Macaca mulatta: one gene and its partners. The protein of the gene in region 1 purifies or fractionates together with the protein of each later gene. This does not show direct contact. Links are inferred from orthologs where the notes say so. Each region holds a gene or a part of one and is shown in the gene's direction. Other genes may lie near its edges.

Region 1 (6,264 bases):
ACAGCCTAGACAATTTAGAAAAGTATGTGTTCAATTAAAGCTGACTCCTACGAAACGAGTTTAAGGCAATTAGGTATAATAAGTTAATCCAATATAGAAAGTGTCCCGTTATAATTTTAAAATCAAGAAATTTAGAGTACTTACTTAGTAGTACTTGAAATGTGGTTCGTGTGAAAAGAACTGCTGGAAGTATAAAACACACCCTGGTTTCAAAGGCTTAGTGCAAAAGAACTATAAAACATTATCAGTAATTTTATATTGCTTACATGTTGAAATAGTATTTTGGACATATTGAACTAAGTGTATTTATTAAAACTATGTTTCTTCTTGCCTTAAAGGGGTCATTTAGAAATTTTACAATTACATTGTTACACTGTATCTGTAGATATAGGACCACGCTGCTGGCTAAGATTAACCTGGCAGGACTTAGTACTGAAGGGATAGATGGGCCGGTCACAGCCCTAAGATAAAGGAAAGTTAACAGGCATACTTTTTAACAAGCCATTTAAAAATACCCCCTAGAGGCCAGGCGCGGTGGTTCACCCCTGTGATCCCAGCACTTTGGGAGGCCCAGGTGGGAGGATCGCTTGAGCCCAGGAGTTTGAGACCAGCCTGGGCAACAGGGTGAGAACCCAGTCTCTACAAAAGATAAAATTAGCCAGGCATGGTGATGCGCGCCAGGTATGGTGATGCACTAGGGAGGCTGAGGCGGGAGAATCACTTGAGCCTAGGAGGTCGAGGCTGCAGTGAGCCGTGATCATGTCACTGCACTCCAGCCTGGGCGACAGAGTGAGACTCTTGTCTCAACAACAACAAAATAATAACCTATAGAAAAGATAGCCACAGAGTGAGATCACCTGAGCAATACTGTGGGAAGAGTGTCTAGGGAGGAGGAAACGGGGATTCATTTCTTTAAAAGCACCAAAGAGCTGGACAAGGTGGTTCACGCCTCTAATGCCAGCACTGTGGGAGGGCGAGGCGGGCGGATCACTTGAAGTCAGAGTTCGAGACCAGCCTGGCCAACATGGTGAAACTCCGTCTCTACTAAAAATACAAAAATTACCTGGGCGTGGTGGCACGTGCCTGTAATCCCAGCTACTGGGGAGGCTGAGACAGGAAAAACTTTTTTTTTGAGACGGAGTCTCGCTCTGTAGCCCAGGCTGGAGTGCAGTGGCGTGATCTTGGCTCACTGCAGCCTCCACCTCCCGGGTTCAAGCGATTCTCCTGCCTCTGCCTCCCGAGTAGTTGGGATTACAGGGGTGCGCCACCACGCCCGGCTAATTTTTGTATTTTTAGAAGAGACGGGGTTTCACCATGTTGATCAGACTGGTCTCGGACTCCTGACCTGACCTCGTGATCCGCCCGCCTCAGCCTCCCAAAGTGCTGGGATTACAGGCGTGAGCCACCGCGCCCGGCAAGGGAAAGCTCTTGAGCCCGGGAGGCGGAGGTTGCGTTGAGCCAAGATCGTGCCACTACACTCCAGCCAGGGCGACGGAGCTAGACTCCGTTTCAAAAAAAAAAAAAAAAAAAAAGCCCCAAAGAGCTAAAGTTCAGCACCTGCAGGCTGCTGATGTAACCACCCTGCCGGCAGAAAAGCCGGGCCAACGGGGCGTTGGGAGCGTCAGGCCACGAGGGAGGAGCATTCCCGGGTCCGAGAGGGAAGGCCCGGGAGCCACGCGGCTCAGGAAACCGCCCCCGCGAGGGGATAGGAGGATATTGCGTGGCCCCTCCTTCCATGACTCTTCTTAAGGCCCTTCCTCTGAAGGGGGCGATCTCATCCTCAACCCGAGGAAACAATGCCCTCGAACCTGCGCCTGCAGCTCTGCTCCAGGCCGCTCACACAGTGCCTTCCCTAAAAGAACTCAGCCAGACCGGCTATAGGGATAAAGGGTTGGGGGAAACAAATCCAGGTGTGCGCTTCGACCGCAGGCGCCTGCGCCAAAACCCAGCTTGGCCCTTAGTTTCAGCCTCTGCAGCAGCGCCTTCATCCGCCTCCTTTTTCCCGCCCCCGCCGGAGACGTCACAAAGAGTGACGTGTAAAGTGAACAATCACAGTCCCTCTCCGCGCGTGCCGGGAGGAATGGAGAGGGAGGTGGGCGGGGAGAGGACGGAAGGAGTGGGCTTCGGGAGCTGGCTGGTCCCGGTCACCCAATCAGAGAGCTCTGGGGAGGGGAGGGGCGGGGCCCGAAGGAGGGTGGGGGGTGGGGCTGGGGAAAGGAGTTGGAAGGCTGCGGGAGGAGAAGGCGGGCTCCCAGAGATTAAAAACACCCAATCAGAGCGCGCCGGCTTCATTCGGAGAGCGGCGTGGGGCGTCGCCGCCGCCGCCGCGCGCGCCGGGGGCTGGTTAAGGCCATGAAACAAAAGAAACCCTGAGAGGGAGCCGCTGCCACCTCCACCAGCCCGCCCCGCCGCCGTCCCCACCCACCCACCTAGTTACCTACCTTTGCCTCCTTCCCCTGCCCCTCCACCCCGCCCTCTCCGGTCTCCGGGCGGCCCTGGCGCTCCACGGCCCGGGTCCCCAGCCCCACCGCCTCCCCAGAGGAAAGGTGTTTGCGCGCTGAGCAGGGCCCTGGCCCTGTCCGCCATGGGGCTCGCCGCCTGCCGCGCCTGACCCGGCCGCCGCCGCCGCCATTGACAGCGCGCCGCCGCGATGCCGAGCGGCAGCTCCGCGGCCCTGGCCCTGGCGGCGGCCCCGGCGCCCCTGCCGCAGCCGCCCCCGCCGCCGCCGCCGCCGCCGCCGCCTCTGCCGCCGCCCTCGGGCGGCCCGGAGCTCGAGGGGGACGGGCTCCTGCTGAGGGAGCGCCTGGCCGCGCTAGGCCTCGACGACCCCAGCCCGGCGGATCCCGGTGCTCCGGCGCTTCGAGCCGTGGCGGCGGCGGCGCAGGGCCAGGCCCGGCGGGCGGCGGGGCTGTCTCCAGAGGAGCGGGCTCCGCCTGGCCGGCCCGGGGCCCCGGAGGCGGCCGAGCTGGAGCTGGAAGAGGACGAGGAGGAGGGGGAGGAAGCAGAGCTGGACGGAGACCTGCTGGAGGAGGAGGAGCTGGAGGAAGCAGAGGAGGAAGACCGGTCGTCGCTGTTGCTGCTGTCGCCGCCCGCGGCCACCGCCTCTCAGACCCAGCCGATCCCAGGCGGGTCCCTGGGGTCTGTGTTGCTGCCCGCCGCCGGCTTCGATGCCCGGGAGGCGGCGGCCGCGGCGGCGGCGGCGGGGGTGCTGTACGGAGGGGACGATGCCCAGGGCATGATGGCGGCGATGCTGTCCCATGCCTACGGCCCCGGCGGCTGTGGGGCGGCGGCGGCCGCCCTGAACGGGGAGCAGGCGGCCCTGCTCCGGAGAAAGAGCGTCAACACCACCGAGTGCGTCCCGGTGCCCAGCTCCGAGCACGTCGCCGAGATCGTCGGCCGCCAGGGTGAGTGCAGGGGTGGGGAGGTCCAGCTGGGCATGGCCCCGGGCGTGGGTGGGGAGACGAGAGAAATGAGCATGGGACGGAAAGGGCGAACCCGGCGAGGCCCCCAGATCCACCCCGAAGGGGTCTGGGAGGAGCCGAGGGTCGACCAGATGTGAAGATGGGTCACCTTGCGAAAACCCACGCTTTTTCGCTCGTCTCGCCTGGTAAAAAGTGTGAAGTTTTTCGGGCGACCCAGTCCGGTGGTGTTCACGTTACTTGGGCTGTATTCGTGGAACACCAGGCTGGCGTGGCACCAGAAACCTCAGTGAGGTGGTAAAAGGTCGGGCTCGAGGAGTTGTGGGTTCGCTCTTGGGTACGGAAACCTTCGAGATTGCAAGTTTGCGCCGCCGAGTGTCTTCTTTTTAAAGCGTTCAGCCTCCCTTACAAGAACTTGTTCAGATGGAGAAAAGGACAGAAATGGAGGCCTGTAGACAGAGCTCACTGGGGAGGGAAGGGATGTTCAAATGGTCGGTATCACCGCCATCCCCTGCCCCTCCGCTGTTCAGAAACAGCTTTGGAAAAGCAGCCCAACTCACTGCCGCCGATCTTACTGTATTCCTCTCGATACGTTTCAAGTCTCGGAAAGACACACTGACACACTGGCTGTCTTTTGAAACTGTTCGGTGTGCAGGATGAAGAAAAATTGGACACTAAGGTAATTAAGAAACTTCTGTGTTTATACAGTTTTCAGTTAATTCTCCTCTTCACTTGTCAGCACACCAGTACTGCAGACAGACTCCTCCCACATTGTTCAGACAAAGGACCTATGTCTCAGATTCCAGGAGTAGATTTGTGAAGGTGGGGGAAGGAGATGCTTGGGGTACCTCTGTATCCGACATTTTTAGGGAAGGTCCTAAGTTCTTTATGGGAGCTTTTTCCCTTTATGAAAGGGGCAGATGTTACCTGCTGCCACCGCATGACAATATGGTTTAGCCTGGTTGATGCATGCCTCTTTACTGTTAGGTTGAGAGCATTGTTGGGGTCAAATAAAGCGAGATGATGGCGCTGCTGCTTAAATGATCTCATCTTTCCCAAGTGGTCTAAAGTACACATAAATAAGAGGTCTGTCGAAATGGTGGTTTCACATATCAGAGTTGGCTCATTTCTTTCCTATCTGTAGGATTTTAATAAAAACTCATATGAAATCTGGATAAAGGAGATAGCTTATTTCAGACTGCCTGATGATTGGCACTTACCAACACTGTTCAAAGCTGGACCTTTCAATTGAGAGGTAGCTTATGTGTGTTGTTCTTCTGGTTAATGAGTTTCAAATACCTGGTTTGTTTGGTTTTGACGATACTTAGAGTAATAATCCAGGATAAAACTTTTATTTACATGGGATAAAATTACACCATCTCAATTTGCATCAGAATGAGTTGACCATTCATGTGAGAACACTGAGGAATCGCCATGTACCAAGCATGTATTTTGCCAGGTGTTGAGTTTGTGGTATTGAGTTGAGAGTGTGAAGTTAATTCAGACTTTCTGCCCTTAAGAAGATAACAGTCTAATAAACAGTAGAATGGCACTAACTATAGTATATTTAGTGTGACAGAGTATCAGATAGGAGAACATCTACCGTGGAGGGCCTTGGAAAATGGGTAGGAAGGAGTTTAACAAATGGAGATTGAAAAACTGTGGAAGAACAATGTGAGGAGTGGTGTGGAGGACCATCTTCTAGGTATAATTGCCAAGTAGTGTTGTTTTGATACTTGAGGTCTGTAAAGGGGAGTGGTGGAAAAGGGGGAAGGCAGGCGTTCACACCGGAATGTGAAGAAGTCTGAATGCCATATGAAGATGCCACTTCTCAGGACAAGTTGCTTCAGTGTGCTTATGGTAACAGTCTAGGGTAACAAAGGAAAAAACCATTTACGTGCTAGTTTTACAGAGGGACAAGATAACATATTTTATAGATTTAGTTTAATACAAACTTTTGTCCTTCTTTATAGTAGACACCCCGTAAAGCACTGCAGAATGGCCCTTGTGTACATTGTTATCTTTATAGAAATCAATTTTTAAAAGTGAATTCCAAGTTTTTATTTTGTACCAGCTATTACATGATAGGAAATGAGATAAAGCCTTAGTTTTTCTTTTGAGGGCTGTGCTTATTTGGTTAATAAGGAAATGTTGAATTTAATTATGTCTTAGGACATGGAGACAAATTGCTGGCTCTTCCATTTAAACCTTGTATTTTCCCGGAGTTGACAATACTGTTAAAAGTATGTCATCATCCTCTGTCTTAAAAGCAGAAAATCTGGTCCTTTTGCTATTTTGAACCATTCAACTTGTGGATCATTGTACCCCTTTGCCACCCCCATGTCCCAGCACGATAGTAATAAAACCTGTAAAGTTATTTGCTTACTCGTATGGAGAACTAAGTAACTTCTAATGTTCACATCCTTTTACAGTATATTTCCCCATGGGAGAGAACCTGTCCTAAGTGAGGAAAACAGGGCAAATCATTTCATTTTCTTGTTTGCTTTGAGGGAGCTAAATTTTCATCCTTAAGATTAAATTATCCATTTCTGCCATTTTATGTATTACCTGAAGCCACAATTTTCTGTTTGACATCTCTTAATTGATTTTGGAAATAATTATGTCACAGATGGAGACATTTATGACTTCAGCTCTGAAGCAAAGAGCAGGACAAATGGAATTCTGAGTCACATAGACTAGCAACTCATGTAGATGGCCTCTGAGCTCCAGTGTTTTCCTAAACACTAGCTACCGCTTTTGATACCGATGAAAGTTGGCAGAGTGTTTGACCTCGAATTTATACTCCCCAGTAGCATATGGTCATTTGTAAATGTTAAATTGGCCT
Region 2 (5,727 bases), on another chromosome or scaffold:
CTATCTAAAGTACTTGCCATACTCTATTATTTCACCATGTAATTACTCAACATGCAAGCATCTAACCCTCACACATCAGTAACTACTGTCACCTCTGTCCTGTGGCCTTGGGAGCCTTAATTCTAAAAAGTAGACTTCTAGAGAAGCTGAATACTTGGGAGTAGCAGAAGAAAAAAAAAATCAAGAAAATTGGAATATATTACTCATTCAACAAATATTTATTGAATACCTACTGTATTCCTGGACTCATTCATAGTATTACATAAGTGAAGAGTAACAGACAAAAATACCTGCCCTTGACAAAAATGGGGGCAGATTCTCCAGCACTACTGTCCTGAGCCATAGAGAACTAGAGCGTGACTATACACACTTAACACATGCACACAAGCATAAAAAACATTTTTCTACATAATCTGAATTTGTTCACTTCCTTTTTTCTTTAAAAAAAAAAAAAAAAACCTGCCATTAGAACCAGTTAACAAATGCACCTTAATTTCCTAGGAACTCTCTTTGAAAAAATATGAATACTTCCAGATAGGTTTATGGATTTTCAGTTTCTTATACCACTTGAAACCCCTCAGTCAGATTGCTTTTCTCCTAACAACTAACTGGTATCACTTGCACTAAGAGTAGAAGTTTTTATTTTAAGGAGGAAAGGTGATGTTGAAGTTTGTACCGTTTACTTGGGTCACAGACAGCCTGGCTCTAATGCCTCAAAGAAAAGCATAAAATAGAATGAAGGAGAGACACTAAATGAAGCCAGGATGCTAAAAACAATTAATGTCCATGCAGAAATATCTAATGGTTTGCTTTAGAAAAGGGAGGTAATTCTTCTTTTCATCCTGTTTTTCTGTCATTCTCCTGACTCCTTGTTTTGAGGGTCCACAGTTCAGACTTTTACTACTCATTCTGAGGATCCACCATTTCTGTGGTTTCCAAGGGGACACAGCCTCTGAGTTCTAAGCAGCTAAGCTTACTGAACTTTTGGAGTGTAACCTGTTTATAAGTAATTAAATAATAGCTTTAGGGCATTCATGTGCTCATTATAAACTAGTCTAATCTGATCATAAAACAGAGTGCCTCTTTGGCAACTCTTTATTAGCCTAATCGTATTTATGCATACACTTAAAAATTATAATTGTGTCTATGCATAAATTCATTTCTCTAATTCAACAAAACCCATACCATTGCCCTAAGGATGCGACATATCACTCTGCTGGAAATTTAGCGCTACTTCACATTTAAAATACAAGTTTTAACATTAAATAATTTCTTATTCCCCAAAAAATTAATTTCTCTTTCTAGTCTCTCACTGAATTTAAATTCTAACTAGTTATTGCACTAGGGCAGAGGTTGAGATATCACTGATAGTTCACACTGAGTTTGTTCAGCCTGTTTTGCATCCATGAAAATAGTTTTTGGTGGTAATGGTTGTGTAATGATGTGTAGAAATTTTATTGGAAATATTTCCCCCAGAATTCTTCAAGTGTTTTAGTATGTGTGACAAACAATAAGAATTTCGTAGCAATGTTTTTTATTTCAGTGTTTAGTGGCTAAATCATTACTAAGTTATAATTTTATTAATAAGTTTCACTATAAAATGGACCATACAGGTGATCGAGGAAACATCTCAACATCTTCTAGACCAGCTTCTACATCAGGAAAATCAGAGCTGTCCTCTAAACACAGCAGATCACTTAAACCTGATGGACATATGAGCCGGACTACTGCTGATCAGAAGAAGCCAAGGGGCACAGACAGTTTATCAGCTAGTGAATCCCTCATCTTAAAATCTGATGCTGCAAAGTTGAGGTCAGATTCCCATAGTAGGTCATTGTCCCCTAACCATAACACCTTGCAGACATTGAAATCTGATGGGAGGATGCCTTCTAGCTCCAGAGCTGAATCCCCAGGACCAGGTTCTCGGTTGTCATCTCCTAAGCCAAAGACTCTCCCAGCCAACAGGTCTAGCCCATCAGGTGCTAGTTCTCCACGCTCCTCCTCACCACATGATAAAAATCTACCTCAAAAAAGTACTGCTCCTGTTAAGACAAAACTTGATCCTCCTCGGGAACGTTCCAAATCAGACTCTTACACACTTGATCCAGATACCCTCCGCAAGAAGAAAATGCCCCTCACAGAACCTTTGAGGGGACGGTCAACATCACCAAAACCAAAATCAGTACCAAAGGATTCTACAGATTCCCCAGGATCTGAAAATAGAGCTCCCTCTCCCCATGTGGTACAGGAAAACCTCCACAGTGAGGTGGTCGAAGTCTGCACCTCAAGTACTTTAAAAACAAATAGTCTAACAGACAGCACCTGCGACGACAGCAGTGAATTTAAGAGTGTGGATGAAGGTTCAAATAAAGTTCATTTTAGCATTGGAAAAGCACCACTGAAAGATGAACAGGAAATGAGAGCATCCCCCAAAATAAGTCGAAAATGTGCTAATAGACACACCAGGCCCAAAAAAGAAAAATCGAGTTTTCTTTTCAAAGGAGATGGATCCAAGCCTTTAGAGCCAGCCAAGCAAGCCATGTCTCCTTCTGTGGCCGAATGTGCCAGAGCTGTGTTTGCTTCCTTCCTCTGGCATGAAGGCATAGTACATGATGCAATGGCTTGTTCTTCTTTCCTAAAGTTTCATCCTGAACTTTCCAAAGAACATGCTCCTATAAGGAGTAGTTTAAATAGCCAACAGCCTACAGAGGAAAAAGAAACCAAGTTAAAAAATAGACATTCGTTGGAAATATCATCTGCACTGAATATGTTTAATATTGCACCCCATGGACCAGATATATCTAAGATGGGTAGCATCAACAAAAACAAGGTATTATCTATGCTTAAGGAACCACCTCTGCATGAAAAATGCGAGGATGGGAAAACTGAGACCACTTTTGAAATGTCCATGCATCACACAATGAAGTCTAAATCTCCTCTTCCCTTAACTTTACAACATTTAGTGGCTTTTTGGGAAGACATCTCTTTGGCTACTATCAAAGCTGCTTCCCAGAATATGATTTTTCCAAGTCCTGGTTCCTGTGCAGTTCTTAAAAAGAAAGAGTGTGAGAAAGAGAATAAGAAGGCCAAAAAGGAAAAAAAGAAAAAAGAAAAGGCAGAAGTGAGGCCCAGGGGTAATTTGTTTGGAGAGATGGCCCAGCTGGCGGTAGGAGGACCAGAGAAAGATACCATCTGTGAACTGTGTGGGGAGTCACATCCGTACCCAGTGACCTATCACATGAGACAAGCTCACCCAGGTAAATGATACTGGCGAATGTATGTATAAGTACTTCTTTCTTTACTGAACCGGATCACTTCATTTGAGCTGTTATATGAATTTTGGCAAAGGATAGGGAATTTATAGTATCTTAAAGTACATTATCAGTACAGGGTTTTGCAAAAAACAGATAAAGAAATTCTAATATTATGATGACAAGGTCATTTAGTGCTATTTCACTTTCATGTAGCATGTTTTAAAAAAATTTATGTGTTACCCAAAGGGTGTGCCATTAATGTGTCTGTCTCACACAACAGAATCAGTGGCGTGCCCATACACATGGGGCATCTCCTTTGATTTTACTATTTTCCTGTTCAGAATTGCAAATTAAATTAGATTATATTGATTTCGATAGGCTTTTTCCTATGGAAGTGATACTGTTTTATCAGAAGACTGCATTTTCAGTAAATGTAATGATTTCTGTAACATTGACTAATATTCCAAATTCACCTAATACAAATTTGTATTTGTAATTTTTTTCTTTGTCTACATATTATACTTCAAATGTTTTATGTGACTTCTGAAAATATATCATTGTTATAGAACTTTTTTACTTGTTTTGTCTAATTTTATTGACATAATTAAGTATATCTAAATGTACCTATAGTCTACCTCTCTTTTAATCTGCCTGAATAGAAACTAAGTATCTCTCATATTTGGGGTATCGTTTAATTAATTGCTTTTTGATCAAGTAAGCTATTTTTCTGATATAGTTAATAGCCTGAAAAATCAGATATCTATTTCAGTATTTTGCTTTCTTTGAGAAGGTAAATCTGTCGTTAATCTATGAGTAATAAGGATCAAACTATTAAGGACACTTGGAGTGTTAAATATTTATTTTTGGTATTGTTTCAAGGTTGTGGCCGATATGCTGGTGGACAAGGTTACAATAGCATTGGGCATTTTTGTGGAGGATGGGCTGGTAACTGTGGTGATGGTGGCATAGGAGGAAGCACTTGGTATCTGGTATGTGATCGCTGTAGAGAAAAATACCTCCGTGAAAAACAAGCTGCTGCAAGGGAGAAGGTATTTTATTCCATTCGGAGCTATAGTTTTAATGATATGGATACACTTTATAAAAATAGCTTTTTATGATCTTATTACATCAGATAATTCCGCATAGTTGATATAAAAGATCAGCTTTTACAATGGAAATCATATACAAATTTAATATTTGTACTACGTCAGCTGCTTTTAATTTTAAAAATTAACTATATATTGGAATAACACTAGATAACCTCTGCTACCTGTTTTTTTGGCTCCTTTGTTTTCCTATTCCATAGCTACTCTCTCTTTTCCTTATTCACTCTAGTGGCTAACCTAACTAAAAAATTTCACTGAATACACACAGATGATTTACTTTTTAAAAAAATGAATTATATTTAGATTTAACTAGTTAGGTGTTAAATTTTTCTGAAGAAAGAAAGGAAGTATAGTTTGTGTTTAATACAGAATAGTCAGCCCAGGATGAATATGAAGTGAATGTTGTTTTTTTATAATCTTAGTATTTTAAAATAGCTTTACAAGTGTTTAATAATTTTTATTGGAAACTCAAAATACTTAGCTTAAGGAACGAAATATTTTAATATAAGTCAGAAAAGATTACTTTGATTTTTTTTCTTTGCCAGGTCAAACAATCTAGGAGAAAACCAATGCAAGTCAAGACCCCTCGTGCCTTGCCCACCATGGAAGCTCACCAGGTGATTAAAGCCAATGCACTCTTCCTGCTCTCCCTGAGCAGTGCAGCCGAACCGAGCATTCTGTGTTACCATCCTGCAAAGCCATTCCAATCTCAGTTGCCCAGCGTGAAAGAAGGCATTTCTGAGGATCTTCCTGTGAAAATGCCTTGTCTCTACCTTCAGACATTAGCTAGGTAATAAAATTTTGTTGTTGTTTTTTAATCACCTTTGGATTAACAGTGATTGTTTATTGATATCTAGGGTAGTTCAGTATTTGACCTATACTTTATTAGATACTATGTACTGTAAAGAAACTTCCAGGCATTTATTTTTTTGAGTTGCCTTGACTAACATAATGACTTTATGGTAGTAGGTATTTAAAAAACTATAAAAATGCTTCATCAATTTACATTGTTACTAATACAAAACATGTCTTAGAAAATAAGACTATAGCTATCTTTCACTCTTTGGTAGGCTGACTTCAGTCTGTTAGTGTGAAATGCTGAAGTAGAAAAAAGTTGGTGTTTTCTTAGCAGTCTTTTATGTCATAAATTATTCATTGTTAGCATTTAAATGAATACTAACTGGGCACCTGCCAGCCTTGTGCTAGGCCCTGAATGAATGAATGAATGAATATAACAAAATCCTGGCTTCTATGTACTCATACTGTGATGTCAAGTCAGACATGTCAGTGAAACATTTGAAATGCCATGTGAGGAGTGCTACAATAGAAGTATGTATGTAGGATGCTGTTACAGCATAAAAGATGGA
Region 3 (5,727 bases), on another chromosome or scaffold:
CTGGTGCGGGCCTGCAACCAGCTGGGCCAGTTCCTGCAGCACCGGGAGACCAACCTGCGCTACCTGGCCCTGGAGAGCATGTGCACGCTGGCCAGTTCCGAGTTCTCCCACGAAGCCGTCAAGACGCACATTGACACCGTCATCAATGCCCTCAAGGTGTGACCCCTTGGAGCCCACTTGGGCCTGCCACCCCCCTCAGAAAGACCAGAGGCTCAGAGGCCCTTGGGTGGCCAACCCTGTGCCAACAGGGAGTCTAAAACACACCTGGGCCCTGCTGTCCACCCTCAGACGGAGCGGGACGTCAGCGTGCGGCAGCGGGCAGCTGACCTCCTCTACGCCATGTGTGACCGGAGCAATGCCAAGCAGATCGTGTCGGAGATGCTGCGGTACCTGGAAACGGCCGACTATGCCATCCGCGAGGAGATCGTGAGTGCTGCGGGGTGCGGGCTGGACTTGTGGGTCTGAGGGAGGGGGTGACTGGGGGCTTGGACTCTTGGGTCCGAGGGAAGAGGGGCTGGAGCCTGGATACCTGGATCTGAGGGATAGGTGGCTGGTGGCCTGGATTCCTGGGTCTGAGGGAGGAGGGGCTGGGACCTGGACTCCTGGGTCTCCAGATGGGGGCAGTGGTGAGCCCAGAGCCAGGTGAGTGAAAGCCCGACTCAGCCTGCGGGCACTCTGTCTCTCACACGCTCCGGCGGCAGGTCCTGAAGGTGGCCATCCTGGCTGAGAAGTACGCCGTGGACTACAGCTGGTATGTGGACACCATCCTCAACCTCATCCGCATCGCGGGCGACTACGTGAGTGAAGAGGTGTGGTACCGTGTGCTACAGATCGTCACCAACCGTGATGACGTCCAGGGCTACGCCGCCAAGACGGTCTTTGAGGTCAGCATTCCTGACCCTGACCCCCATGACCCCACGACAGGACCTAGAGGCAGAGCAAGGACGGCCGGGGCTGTGGGGCCTGCCAGCCCCTGGCCATCCTCCTCCTGCACTGCTGTGACCTCAAAGTGGGGCTTCTGCCTCTCTGGGCCAACCCAGGGCACCCAGGGCTCTGGGTCCCTCCTACCCTCCTGATGTGAGGAGTCCCCAGGGCATGGGCATGGGGAGCCCGGTGTGCAGTCCTGGCCCCAGATCTCGGTAGTTTCCATTTCCCTCTGCCCCAGGAAAGGGGACCTGCACAGCCCTGTTTTTTTTGTTTTTTGGTTTTTTTTTGGTGTGTTTGTTTTTTGGAGACGGAGTCTCACTCTGTCACCCAGGCTGGATTGGGGAGTGAGTGCCTTGGCGTGATCTTGGCTCGCTGCGACCTCCGCCTCCCAGCGTCAAACCATTCTCCTGCCTCAGCCTCCCCAGTAGCTGGTACTACAGGCGCATGCCACCACACCCAGCTAATTTGTTTGTATTTTTAATAGAGATGGGGTTTCACCATGTTGCCCAGGCTGGTTTCAAACTCCTGAGCTTGGGCAATCTGCCCTCCTCGGCCTCCCAAAATGCTAGGGCTACAGGCATGAGCCACCACGCCTGGCTCACAGCCCTGTTTTACGGCCTGTGTGAGCTTGGGCCGGTCACTCAACCTTTTTGTGCCTCAGTTTACCACTTATAACCCCACCCGCAGCAGAGCTTTGAGGGTTCCACCAGTCAGGAGGTGGTTGCACCCAGTGCTCCCAGAGAGAGTGCTCATTCTTGTCCTCTCCACGCCCTTCCCCGCCCCCCCCAGGCGCTCCAGGCCCCTGCCTGTCATGAGAACATGGTGAAGGTTGGCGGCTACATCCTTGGGGAGTTTGGGAACCTGATTGCTGGGGACCCCCGCTCCAGGTGAGGGAGCCTCAGCCTGCGGGGGGAACACTACACACTTCTGACGGATCCAGGGCTTGAGGGATCCCCAGGGGTCTCAGGGTAGGCGGTGATGGGCTCCCATCCTCTCGGCCTCCACCCCAACCCACCTAGCAGGGTAAGAGAGGACCTCAGTCCCAGGATCATGGACAGAGTGTGACTGTGGCCCCTGCCTGGTGCCTGGGGAGGGCCACTCCCCTCCAGCGGCCTGGGGTCCTGGGACAGGTCCATCCCAGGGAGGGGTGCCTCTCGAGGGGGTTTCTGGGAGAGGGCAGTGGAGCCTGGTCCCCGCTGACACCCACTCCCGCGCACAGCCCCCCGGTGCAGTTCTCCCTGCTCCACTCCAAGTTCCACCTGTGCAGCGTGGCGACGCGGGCGCTGCTGCTGTCCACCTACATCAAGTTCATCAACCTCTTCCCCGAGACCAAGGCCACCATCCAGGCCGTGCTGCGGGCCGGCTCCCAGCTGCGCAATGCTGACGTGGAGCTGCAGCAGCGAGCCGTGGAGTACCTCACCCTCAGCTCGGTGGCCAGCACCGACGTCCTGGTCAGAGCCTTGCCCCTCCCCACCCTGGCATACCCCCTTCCCGCTCTCCCCTCCTCCTGACCCGAACTGACCTTCCCCACCCGACTGCGCCAGGCTACGGTGCTGGAGGAGATGCCGCCCTTCCCCGAGCGCGAGTCGTCCATCCTGGCCAAGCTGAAACGCAAGAAGGGGCCAGGGGCTGGCAGTGCCCTGGATGATGGCCGGAGGGACCCAAGCAGCAACGACATCAATGGGGGCGTAGAGCCCACCCCCAGCACTGTGGTGAGTCCCCTGGGGTGGGCCCTGCCAGGGTGCCTGGGGCTGGGTCCTGCCAGGGTGCCATCTGTCCTCACCATGACCTGCGCTTCCTACAGTCGACGCCCTCGCCCTCCGCCGACCTCCTGGGGCTGCGGGCAGCCCCTCCCCCGGCAGCACCCCCGGCTTCTGCAGGGGCAGGGAACCTCCTGGTGGACGTCTTCGATGGCCCGGCCGCCCAGCCCAGCCTGGGGCCCACCCCCGAGGAGGCCTTCCTCAGGTAGCACCCCCTGGGCCCGGGCCCCTTCTCACAGCCACCCCCAGGGCTGTCCCTTCTCGGCCTCTGCCCGCATTTTCCCTGAGCCCCTCCCCAGCCCCCTACTCGCTCCTCTCTCCATCCCGATGCCTTCACCAGCCCTGGCTGCTGCCTCCCCTGCCCCAGCCTCCCTGCTCACAGCCTCCCTCTCCCACTCTGGACTCCACCGACACTGGCCACCCTTCGTTGTCTCCTTTCCTGTCACCGTTTCTCAGCCTGCTCTTCCTTTTCTCCTTCTCTCCTTCCCTTCTCCCTCTCTGTCTCTCTCTCTCCGGCCCTCTTGCTGCCTGTCTGGGATTGGCTGCCACGCCTGTCTTCTCTTGTCTGCTCTGGGATTGGATGGCCCAGCGAGCTGGAGCCGCCTGCCCCCGAGAGCCCCATGGCTTTGCTGGCTGACCCAGCTCCAGCTGCTGAGTAAGGGGTGGCCTGGGGTGGGAGGTCGCGGGGGGGCAGACTCCGGTGTCCCCAGGGAGAGTTAGGGGACTGAGAGCTCTTGTCAACGGGTTCCTGATGAGCAGCAGAGGCAGGGACTTTGAGGAAAGGGAAACTTGGTGCCTGCCGATGCGGGGGCACGGGCCAGGGTTCCATTCCCGTTAGAGGCCACTGCTGAACGGATGTGAAGTTCCTCGAAGCTCTGTGAGGGGTCTGGATATGTGGTTCTGGGGTTCTGTCCTTAGGGTTTGTTCTCACACTCAATTGCTCTGGGTCTTCGCCCCTCCCCACCAAGTCCCTTCCCATCTCACTCCACTCACTCACTGCCTCCAGCCCAGGTCCTGAAGACATTGGCCCTCCCATTCCGGAAGCCGATGAATTGCTGAATAAGTGAGTCCTGGGAGAGGTGGGGGAGGGGAATGGGGACAGGTGCAGAGCCTAGGTCAGGTGCAGGCAGGCATCCCCGTCATCCTGCGCCCCCTGCCACTCCCACCCAGGTTTGTGTGTAAGAACAACGGGGTTCTGTTCGAGAACCAGCTGCTGCAGATCGGAGTCAAGTCAGAGTTCCGGCAGAATCTAGGTGTGTCCCAGGGGACTGTGGGAATGGGTGGGAGGGAGACCTTGGGTTGGGCCTGGGGAAGGGGTCAGAGGGACTCAGATGGAGCTCTGCCTCCCCCACCTACTGCAGGCCGCATGTATCTCTTCTATGGCAACAAGACCTCGGTACAGTTCCAGAATTTCTCACCCACTGTGGTCCACCCCGGAGACCTCCAGACTCATATCCTCTCAGGCCCGGCCCAGCCTCCTGCCTCCAGGCCTGCCTCTCCAGGTTGGCCTTCCTCATCGTGGGGAAGCTGGCTGACCCAGGTCCACACTTCTCTTTAGCCCCTCTTGGGCACGCAGTTACTTCTCTGAGATTCAGTGTCTGCATCTGTAAGATGGGGGTGGGGTTCCTTCCCCCAGGACAGGAGATGACAGTGAAGTGGTGTGTGGGAGGCATTACTTCCGGAACTCACCTGCTCCAGGCCTCAGTTTGTCCCTGTCTGGCACCTTCCGTGTCCTGCCATTATCCTCCACTGGGCTCCATGTCATGATGCCAGCACCTCCTGCACTCAGAAGCCAGGCCTGCGGGTCCAGACGCTGATCAGGGCCTCCTCCTGTATGACCTAGGCTGAGTCACTTTGCCTATCTGGGCCTTCCTGTCCCCACCGGGAAGTGTATGTAGACCCTCCTCTTCCTCATAGGGTTATTGTGAAGATCAGAGTATCTGGAAAACCCTGGAAGGGTGGCTGGAGGTATCAGTACCCCCTGTTCCTTCTCTGGGCCTCCATTTCCACATTGATGAAATTAGAAAAGCTCAACCCCCAAACTCCTTCCGGCCGGGCGTGGGGGCTCATGCCTGTAATCCCAGCACTGGGAGGCTGAGGCCAGCGGATCATTTGAGGTCAGGAGTTCAAGACCAGCCTTGCCAACATGGTGAAACCCCATCTCCACTAAAAATACAAAAATTAGCTGGGTGGTAGTGGTGCGCGCCTATAATCCCAGCTACTCAGGAGGCTAAGACAAGAGAATCACTTGAGCCTGGAGGTGGTGGTTGTGGTGAGCTGAGATTGTATCACTGCACTCCAGTCTGGGCGACAGAGTGAGACCCTGTCTCAAAAAAAATCAGAAACAAAATTCCCTCTTCCATAATTTCCAGAGGCTCGTGCAGGCAGCTCCGTGGAGGCAGTGGCAAGAGAACATGAGACCCAGGCCTTCCCAGTGGGCTACTGACACGGATGCAGATGACGATAACGCTAATTGCTACCATCTTTGTGTACTTATCATGTACCGGGCACACAGACAAGTACTTGTAATGGATTTTTTTTTTAAATAGTGATGAGGCCTCACTGTGTTGCCCAGGCTTGTCTCAAACCCTTGGGCTCAGTGATCCTTCCCACCTTGGCCTCCCAAAGTGCTGGATCACAGGCGTGAGCCACCACACCCGGCTGGATTATTTCATCAACTCCTGAGGACATTTTACACATGTCCTTTTGTTGAGACAGGGCCTCACTCACCCAAGCGGGAGTGCAGTGGCACGAACACTGCTTACTGCAGCCTCGATCTTCTGGGCTCAAGGCATCCTCCTGCCTCAGCCTTCCAAGTAGCTGGGAGTACAGGTGCACATCACCACACCTGGCTAATTTTTTTTGTAGAGATGGGGTCTTGCCATGTTGCCCAATCTTACACATGTCCAGAGGCTTAGAGAGGTTAAGTGGCTGCCCACAGCCACTCAGGTGGGTAAGAGATGGGATTCAAACCCAAGTCAGCCTCCAGAGCTAATACTATTATGTCTCAGTGAGGTGTGACATTGTGGGAGGCCAAAGG
Region 4 (5,727 bases), on another chromosome or scaffold:
TCAGTCCTTGTATTTAACTTCACCTTGAGGTGGAATTGGGACTGAAAATTCTGTGTGTACCTTTTTTTTTTTCCCCAGACAGGATCTTGTTCCGTCTCTGCAGTTGTGCACTCATAGCTCACTGCAGTCATGGCTTCCTGAGCTCAGCTGATCGCGTACCTGAGCCTCCAAGTAGCTGTCACTAGAGGAGGATGCCACCATGCCTGGCCTTTTCTTTTCTTTTCCTTTGTTTTTTGTTTGTTTTGTTGGTTTTTTTGTTGTTGTTTTTTTTGTTTTTTTTGAAGCAGAGCCTGTCACTGTTGCCCAGGCTGGAGTGCAGTGGCACAATCTTGGCTCACTGCAATCTCTGCCTCCCGGTTTCAAGCGATTCTCCTGCCTCAGCCTCCCAAGTATCTGGGATTATAGATGCCCACCACCATACCTGGCTGATTTTTGTATTTTTATGTAGAGACGGGGTTTCACCATGTTGGCCAGGCTAGTCTTGACCTCACCTTAAGTGATCCGGTCACCTCAGCCTCCCCAAGTACTGAGATTACAGGCGTGAGCCACTGCACCCGGCCTCTTTTAAATTTTTACAGTAAATATTGCAGTAGCAAAATGGTTGTTTTTTGCTTTTTTTTTTCAATGAAGTCTTGCTCTGTTGTCCAGGCTGGAGTGCAGTGGCGCGATCTCGGCTCACTGCAAGCTCCGCCTCCTGGGTTCACGCCATTCTCCTGCCTCAGCCTCCCGAGTGGCTGGAACTACAGGCACCTGCCACCAAGCCTGGCTAATTTTTTAATATTTTCAGTAGAGATGGGGTTTCACCGTGTTAGCCTGGATGGTCTTGATCTCCTGATCTCGTGATCTGCCTGCCTTGACCTCCCAAAGTGCTGGGATTACAGACGTGAGCCACCATGCCCGGCCTCTTCTGCTTTTTGTGTGTTTTTTTTTTTTGGTTTGTCGAGGACCACTGCTTAAGCCAAGTAGATTTTTTAAGTGAAAGCCTTTCAGAGATTGAGGAAAGTAGATTAACTGATACATTAGAACTTTAACGTTGACTATTACAGGCATGCTTCACTGTGCTCGACTGATTTTTTTTTTTTTGCATTTTTAGTAGAGACGGGATTTCACCATATTGGTCAAGCTGGTCTCGAACCCCTGACCTCAGGTGATCCACCCACCTCAGCCTCCCAGAGTGCTGGGATTACAGGCGTGAGCCACTGCACTCAGCCAATCTAAAAATATTCTAAATGGCTAGTTGAGTTTGTCCAGGATAGGGGTCATAACTGAAGAAGCTTTGGCTATTTAACTGATACTGGTGGTTGCACCTTTCCTTGTCAGACTCCAGTCTAGCTGTCCCACGTGTAGCTCCAGTTTTAAGTCACTTCCATGCCTTTGCTCATGCTTTTGCTTAAACTTGAAGTGTGTTCTTTTTGCTTTCTCCTGATCCATTAAGGTTAGCTCAAATTTGACCTTCCCATTAATTGCTCCTCCTGGGTCCCTGAGATACTTCATTTAGAGTAGCACTTGAGTCTTCGTCGTCTTCTTTTTTTTTTTTTTTTTTGGTTCTTTTTGTCCAGGCTGGAGTGCAGTGGCACAATTTCAGCTCACTGCAACCTCCGCCTCCCGGGTTCAAGCAATTCTCCTGCCTCAGCCTCCTGAGTAGCTGGGACTGTAGACATACACCACCATACTTGGCTAATTTTTTGTGTTTTTAATAGGTTTTGCCATGGTGGCCCGGCTGGTCTTGAACTCCTGGCCTCAAGTGATCTGCCCGCGCGCATTGGCCACCCAAAGTGTGCTGATTACAGGCGTGAGCCACCACACCCAGCCTCCTCCTTCTTTTAAAATAGTTACACATTTGTCCATCCTCCATTTCTAAAGTTTTAAGGTGATTGTGGACTTAGATTATGTCTCTCTTTTTTTTTTTCTATTGGTATCTGGTATCATTTCTTGGGCATAGTACACAGTATTCAGTAGGTGTGGATTTTCTTTTAAAACTGTAAAAGGCAGGCCGGGCGCGGTGGCTCACGCCTGTAATCCCAGCACTTTGGGAGGCCGAGGCGGGCGGATCACAAGGTCAGGAGATCGAGACCACGGTGAAACCCCGTCTCTACTAAAAATACAAAAAATTAGCCGGGCACGGTGGCGGGCGCCTGTAGTCCCAGCTACTCAGGAGGCTGAGGCAGGAGAATGGCGTAAACCCAGGAGGCGGAGCTTGCAGTGAGCCGAGATCGCGCCACTGCACTCCAGCCTGGGCGACAGAGCGAGACTCCGTCTCAAAAAAAAAAAAAAAAAAAAAAAAAAAAAAAACTGTAAAAGGCTTACATGACCACATTTCCGTGGCTTCTGTGTTGCCTTTTATTTTCTTTGCTTCCCTGCCTCCATTAATGTGAAATTAAATTTTATTAAACTTTGAGGTATTGTCCAAGATTTTCTTTTTGCATTAATACTTTGTTAAATATCTCGGGGGGGGGGTGGTTTGTACCATTGGTCCCAGCCACTCAAGAGGCTAAGGTGGGAAGATTGCTTGAACGCAGGAGTTCAGGTCCAGCCTGGGCAACATAACGAATCTCTTAAAAAAAAAACTTGGGGCCGGGCGCGGTGGCTCAAGCCTGTAATCCCAGCACTTTGGGAGGCCGAGACCGGCGGATCACGAGGTCAGGAGATCGAGACCATCCTGGCTAACACAGTGAAACCCCGTCTCTACTAAAAAATACAAAAAACTAGCCGGGCGAGGCGGCGGGTGCCTGTAGTCCCAGCTACTCGGGAGTCTGAGGCAGGAGAATGGCGTGAACCCGGGAGGCGGAGCTTGCAGTGAGCTGAGATCCGGCCACTGCACTCCAGCCTGGGTGACAGCGCGAGACTCCGTCTCAAAAAAAAAAAAAAAAAACTTGGCCGGGCACGGCGGCTCACTCCTGTAATCCCAGCACTTTGGGAGGCCGCGCCTCTGCAGATCGCGCCACTGCACTCCAGCCTGGGCGACAGAGCAAGACTCCATCTCAAAAAAAGAAAAAATAGTAGTGCTCCACATACCTTTAAGTTAATTTTTATTGTATTTGCTTTTTCTTTGTATCATTGTCACTATTACACACTGGAATAACTGAAGAAGAGATTGATGTCTAGCATGTCTTTTCTAATTCTGATTTTGGATTTAATTTTTATAATACATTTATTTAAATACCTTTAGGTTGGCAAAAGCAGCTTTCGATGATGCAATTGCAGAACTGGATACGCTGAGTGAAGAAAGCTATAAGGACTCTACACTTATCATGCAGTTGTTACGTGATAATCTGACACTATGGACTTCAGACATGCAGGGTGACGGTAAGCAAACACTAGGAAGTAAAAGAGGCACCTCTTTCAGTTGCAGGATTTGTTTTTACTCTCTGTAGACATTCCTTGGCATATCTTTACATCAAGCTACAATTTAGACTCACTGCCTGCTCTCTATGAAATTTTAATTATTGCCTTTATAGGAAATGGTGCTAAAGTACCGAGTTCCATTTTGGGGAACTTAGTTTAAGTCTTCCTTTACACTGTTTCAAAGGTTGAGGAAAGGAAAAGTGGAAAGCAAGTAGTTTATTTTATCTTCGTCCAGATTCAATTTTAGGGGGCTGAAGTTAACTGTATTTAAATCCAGATGGTATCAATAGGTATTTATGAAGTTTTTCTCTTTGTTGAAATTTTTTATCTAAAAGGGAACTAATTTCCCATTTACCTCTGGGGTTCAGCAGAGAAATTGTATGTTGGCCCTTGGGTCTTTTTTTTTTTCTTTTCTTTTCTTTTTTTTTTTTTTTGAGATGGAGTCTCGCTGCAACACCCCGGCTGGAGTGCAGTAGCATAATCTCGGCTCACTGCAAGCTCTGCCTCCCAGGTTCAAGCGATTCTCCTGCCTCAGCCTTCCGGAGTAACTGGGGTTACAGGCACCCGGTATCATGTCCACCTAATTTTTGTATTTTTAGTAGAGACGGGATTTCGTCATGTTGGTCAGGCTGGTCTTGAACTCCTGACCACAGGTGTTCCGCCCGCTTCAGCCTCTCAAAGTGCTGGGATTACAGGCGTGAGCCACTGTGCCCGGCTGTTGTTACTTTTAAGAGGTTTTCATTGCAAACAATTTAGCTAGAGTATTTTACTAAACTTAATTGTGATGGTGAGTGTGTGTGAATGTTTACTTTAAATACAGAAGCCCAAATTTGTTAACGTTTGTTGATTTTAAAGGAAATTTAATTCTCTCTCTCTAGAGAATCATTATTATCCATGGTAGATTGTTGAACAGGGGTGGAGAAGAAGACAAATTAGTGTGATATGAGCATTACATTACAAGATAGTTTTACATTTGGTGGTGCTGGTGCTGGTAGGAGGTTGGAAACAAAGTCTGTTGTCAGTTTTAGCTGCGATTCCTTTAAGCATGTTTCTTAAGCTGGGCTGGGCGCGGAGGCTCAGGCCTGGAATCCCAGCACTTTGGGAGGCCGAGACCGGCGGATCACGAGGTCAGGAGATCGAGATCATCCTGGCCAACACAGTGAAACCCCTGTCTCTACTAAAAATAGAACAGGTGTGTTGGCGGGCGCCTGTAGTCAGTCCCAGCTACTCAGGAGGCTGAGGCTGGAGAATTGCTTAAACCCAGGAGGCGGAGGTTGCAATTAACTGAGATCGTGCCATTGCACTCCAGCCTGGGTGACAGAGGGGAGACTCCATCTCAAAAAAAAAAAAAAAAAAAAAAAAAAAAAAAAAAAAAAGTTTCTTAGACTGAAACATATGTCGCGTTGCTTGAGGCTATCTGTAGTGTCTGTTGGGGAAATCGACCTGCTGTATTGTCTTTGGAAGTGTTACACTTTTTGAAAACGCTTCTGAAAGTGGGCACGTATGTGTCTTTTCTCTGAAAGGATCAAATCAGATTTGTGACTTTTGGGTTATGGTACTAAAGTGAGACTCAGCTTTTAATGCTTCCTAGCTCTAGGAAATGTTTAGGATTTGACTAAATCGGGATTGGCATGAGATACTCATATACATAGGACTTACTTACACGCTTGCAATAGTGCCAGATGGAGCCACGGACCACTTCCCAGCGCAGCATTTCAGGCTGCTACTCCCAGTCCTTGGAACTCAGAAACAATTTACCAACTCTGAACAAGTGGCTTCCAGCTTGAAATCTATCCCACTCTGGTTGCGGTGGCTCATGTCTGTAATCCCAGGACTTGGGAGGCCAAGGTGGGATGATGCCTGAGCCTAGGAGTTCAAGACCAGCCTGGGCAACATAGTAAGACCCTGTCTTTAAAAAAATGAAAAGAAAAAAAAGGCCGGGCGCAGTGCTATGTGCCTGTAACCCCAGCTACTTGGGAGGCTGAGGCAGGAGCATTGCTTGAACACAGGAGGTGGAGGTTGCGGTGAGCTGAGATCACGCCACTGCACTCTGGCCTGGGAGACAGAGCGAGGCTTCATAGAGCAAGACTTTATCTCAAAAAAAAAAAAAAAAAAAACTCCAGTGAGGTTGGGGGATCTTGAGGCTGCAGTGAGCCTTGATTGCGCCACTGCATTCTAACTTGGATGACTGAATGAGGTGCCATCTCTTAAGGGAAAAAAATTGTTTTAACAACTATGAAGAAGAATGGCCAAACAGCTGTGGACTCCTAACAGTCATCCCCAGCTCAGATACTAGCATCTCTCTGCCTGTTGATGGAGGGAAAGCACGTGGAGAGTTTGGGAAGCGGGATTGACTTGAGGAAATGATACCCTCTCACCCCT

What was found.
Region 2: the proteins of MEX3C (region 1) and MYCBP2 purify together in Homo sapiens (affinity purification with mass spectrometry; 3 studies listed by BioGRID and IntAct, with this or other methods). This does not show direct contact. The link is inferred for Macaca mulatta from reciprocal best matches to the Homo sapiens genes MEX3C and MYCBP2.
Region 3: the proteins of MEX3C (region 1) and AP2A1 purify together in Homo sapiens (affinity purification with mass spectrometry; 3 studies listed by BioGRID, with this or other methods). This does not show direct contact. The link is inferred for Macaca mulatta from reciprocal best matches to the Homo sapiens genes MEX3C and AP2A1.
Region 4: the proteins of MEX3C (region 1) and YWHAE purify together in Homo sapiens (affinity purification with mass spectrometry; 3 studies listed by BioGRID and IntAct, with this or other methods). This does not show direct contact. The link is inferred for Macaca mulatta from reciprocal best matches to the Homo sapiens genes MEX3C and YWHAE.

What each region holds. Positions count from the first base shown.
Region 1 is NC_133423.1:41,103,594-41,109,857, forward strand, and holds the start of MEX3C (RNA-binding E3 ubiquitin-protein ligase MEX3C), read left to right. Parts: upstream 1-2,352; 5' UTR 2,353-2,650; coding exon 2,651-3,404; intron 3,405-6,264. UniProt on the Homo sapiens protein: E3 ubiquitin ligase responsible for the post-transcriptional regulation of common HLA-A allotypes. Binds to the 3' UTR of HLA-A2 mRNA, and regulates its levels by promoting mRNA decay.
Region 2 is NC_133422.1:71,890,544-71,896,270, reverse strand, and holds part of MYCBP2 (E3 ubiquitin-protein ligase MYCBP2), read left to right. Parts: intron 1-1,613; coding exon 1,614-3,257; intron 3,258-4,133; coding exon 4,134-4,303; intron 4,304-4,905; coding exon 4,906-5,150; intron 5,151-5,727. UniProt on the Homo sapiens protein: Atypical E3 ubiquitin-protein ligase which specifically mediates ubiquitination of threonine and serine residues on target proteins, instead of ubiquitinating lysine residues.
Region 3 is NC_133424.1:62,267,449-62,273,175, forward strand, and holds part of AP2A1 (AP-2 complex subunit alpha-1), read left to right. Parts: coding exon 1-156; intron 157-288; coding exon 289-426; intron 427-701; coding exon 702-884; intron 885-1,716; coding exon 1,717-1,814; intron 1,815-2,146; coding exon 2,147-2,378; intron 2,379-2,471; coding exon 2,472-2,639; intron 2,640-2,731; coding exon 2,732-2,892; intron 2,893-3,276; coding exon of another isoform or gene 3,277-3,342; intron 3,343-3,693; coding exon 3,694-3,750; intron 3,751-3,857; coding exon 3,858-3,940; intron 3,941-4,048; coding exon 4,049-4,138; coding exon of another isoform or gene 4,139-4,227; intron 4,228-5,727.
Region 4 is NC_133421.1:2,894,714-2,900,440, reverse strand, and holds part of YWHAE (14-3-3 protein epsilon), read left to right. Parts: intron 1-3,169; coding exon 3,170-3,306; intron 3,307-5,727. UniProt on the Homo sapiens protein: Adapter protein implicated in the regulation of a large spectrum of both general and specialized signaling pathways. Binds to a large number of partners, usually by recognition of a phosphoserine or phosphothreonine motif.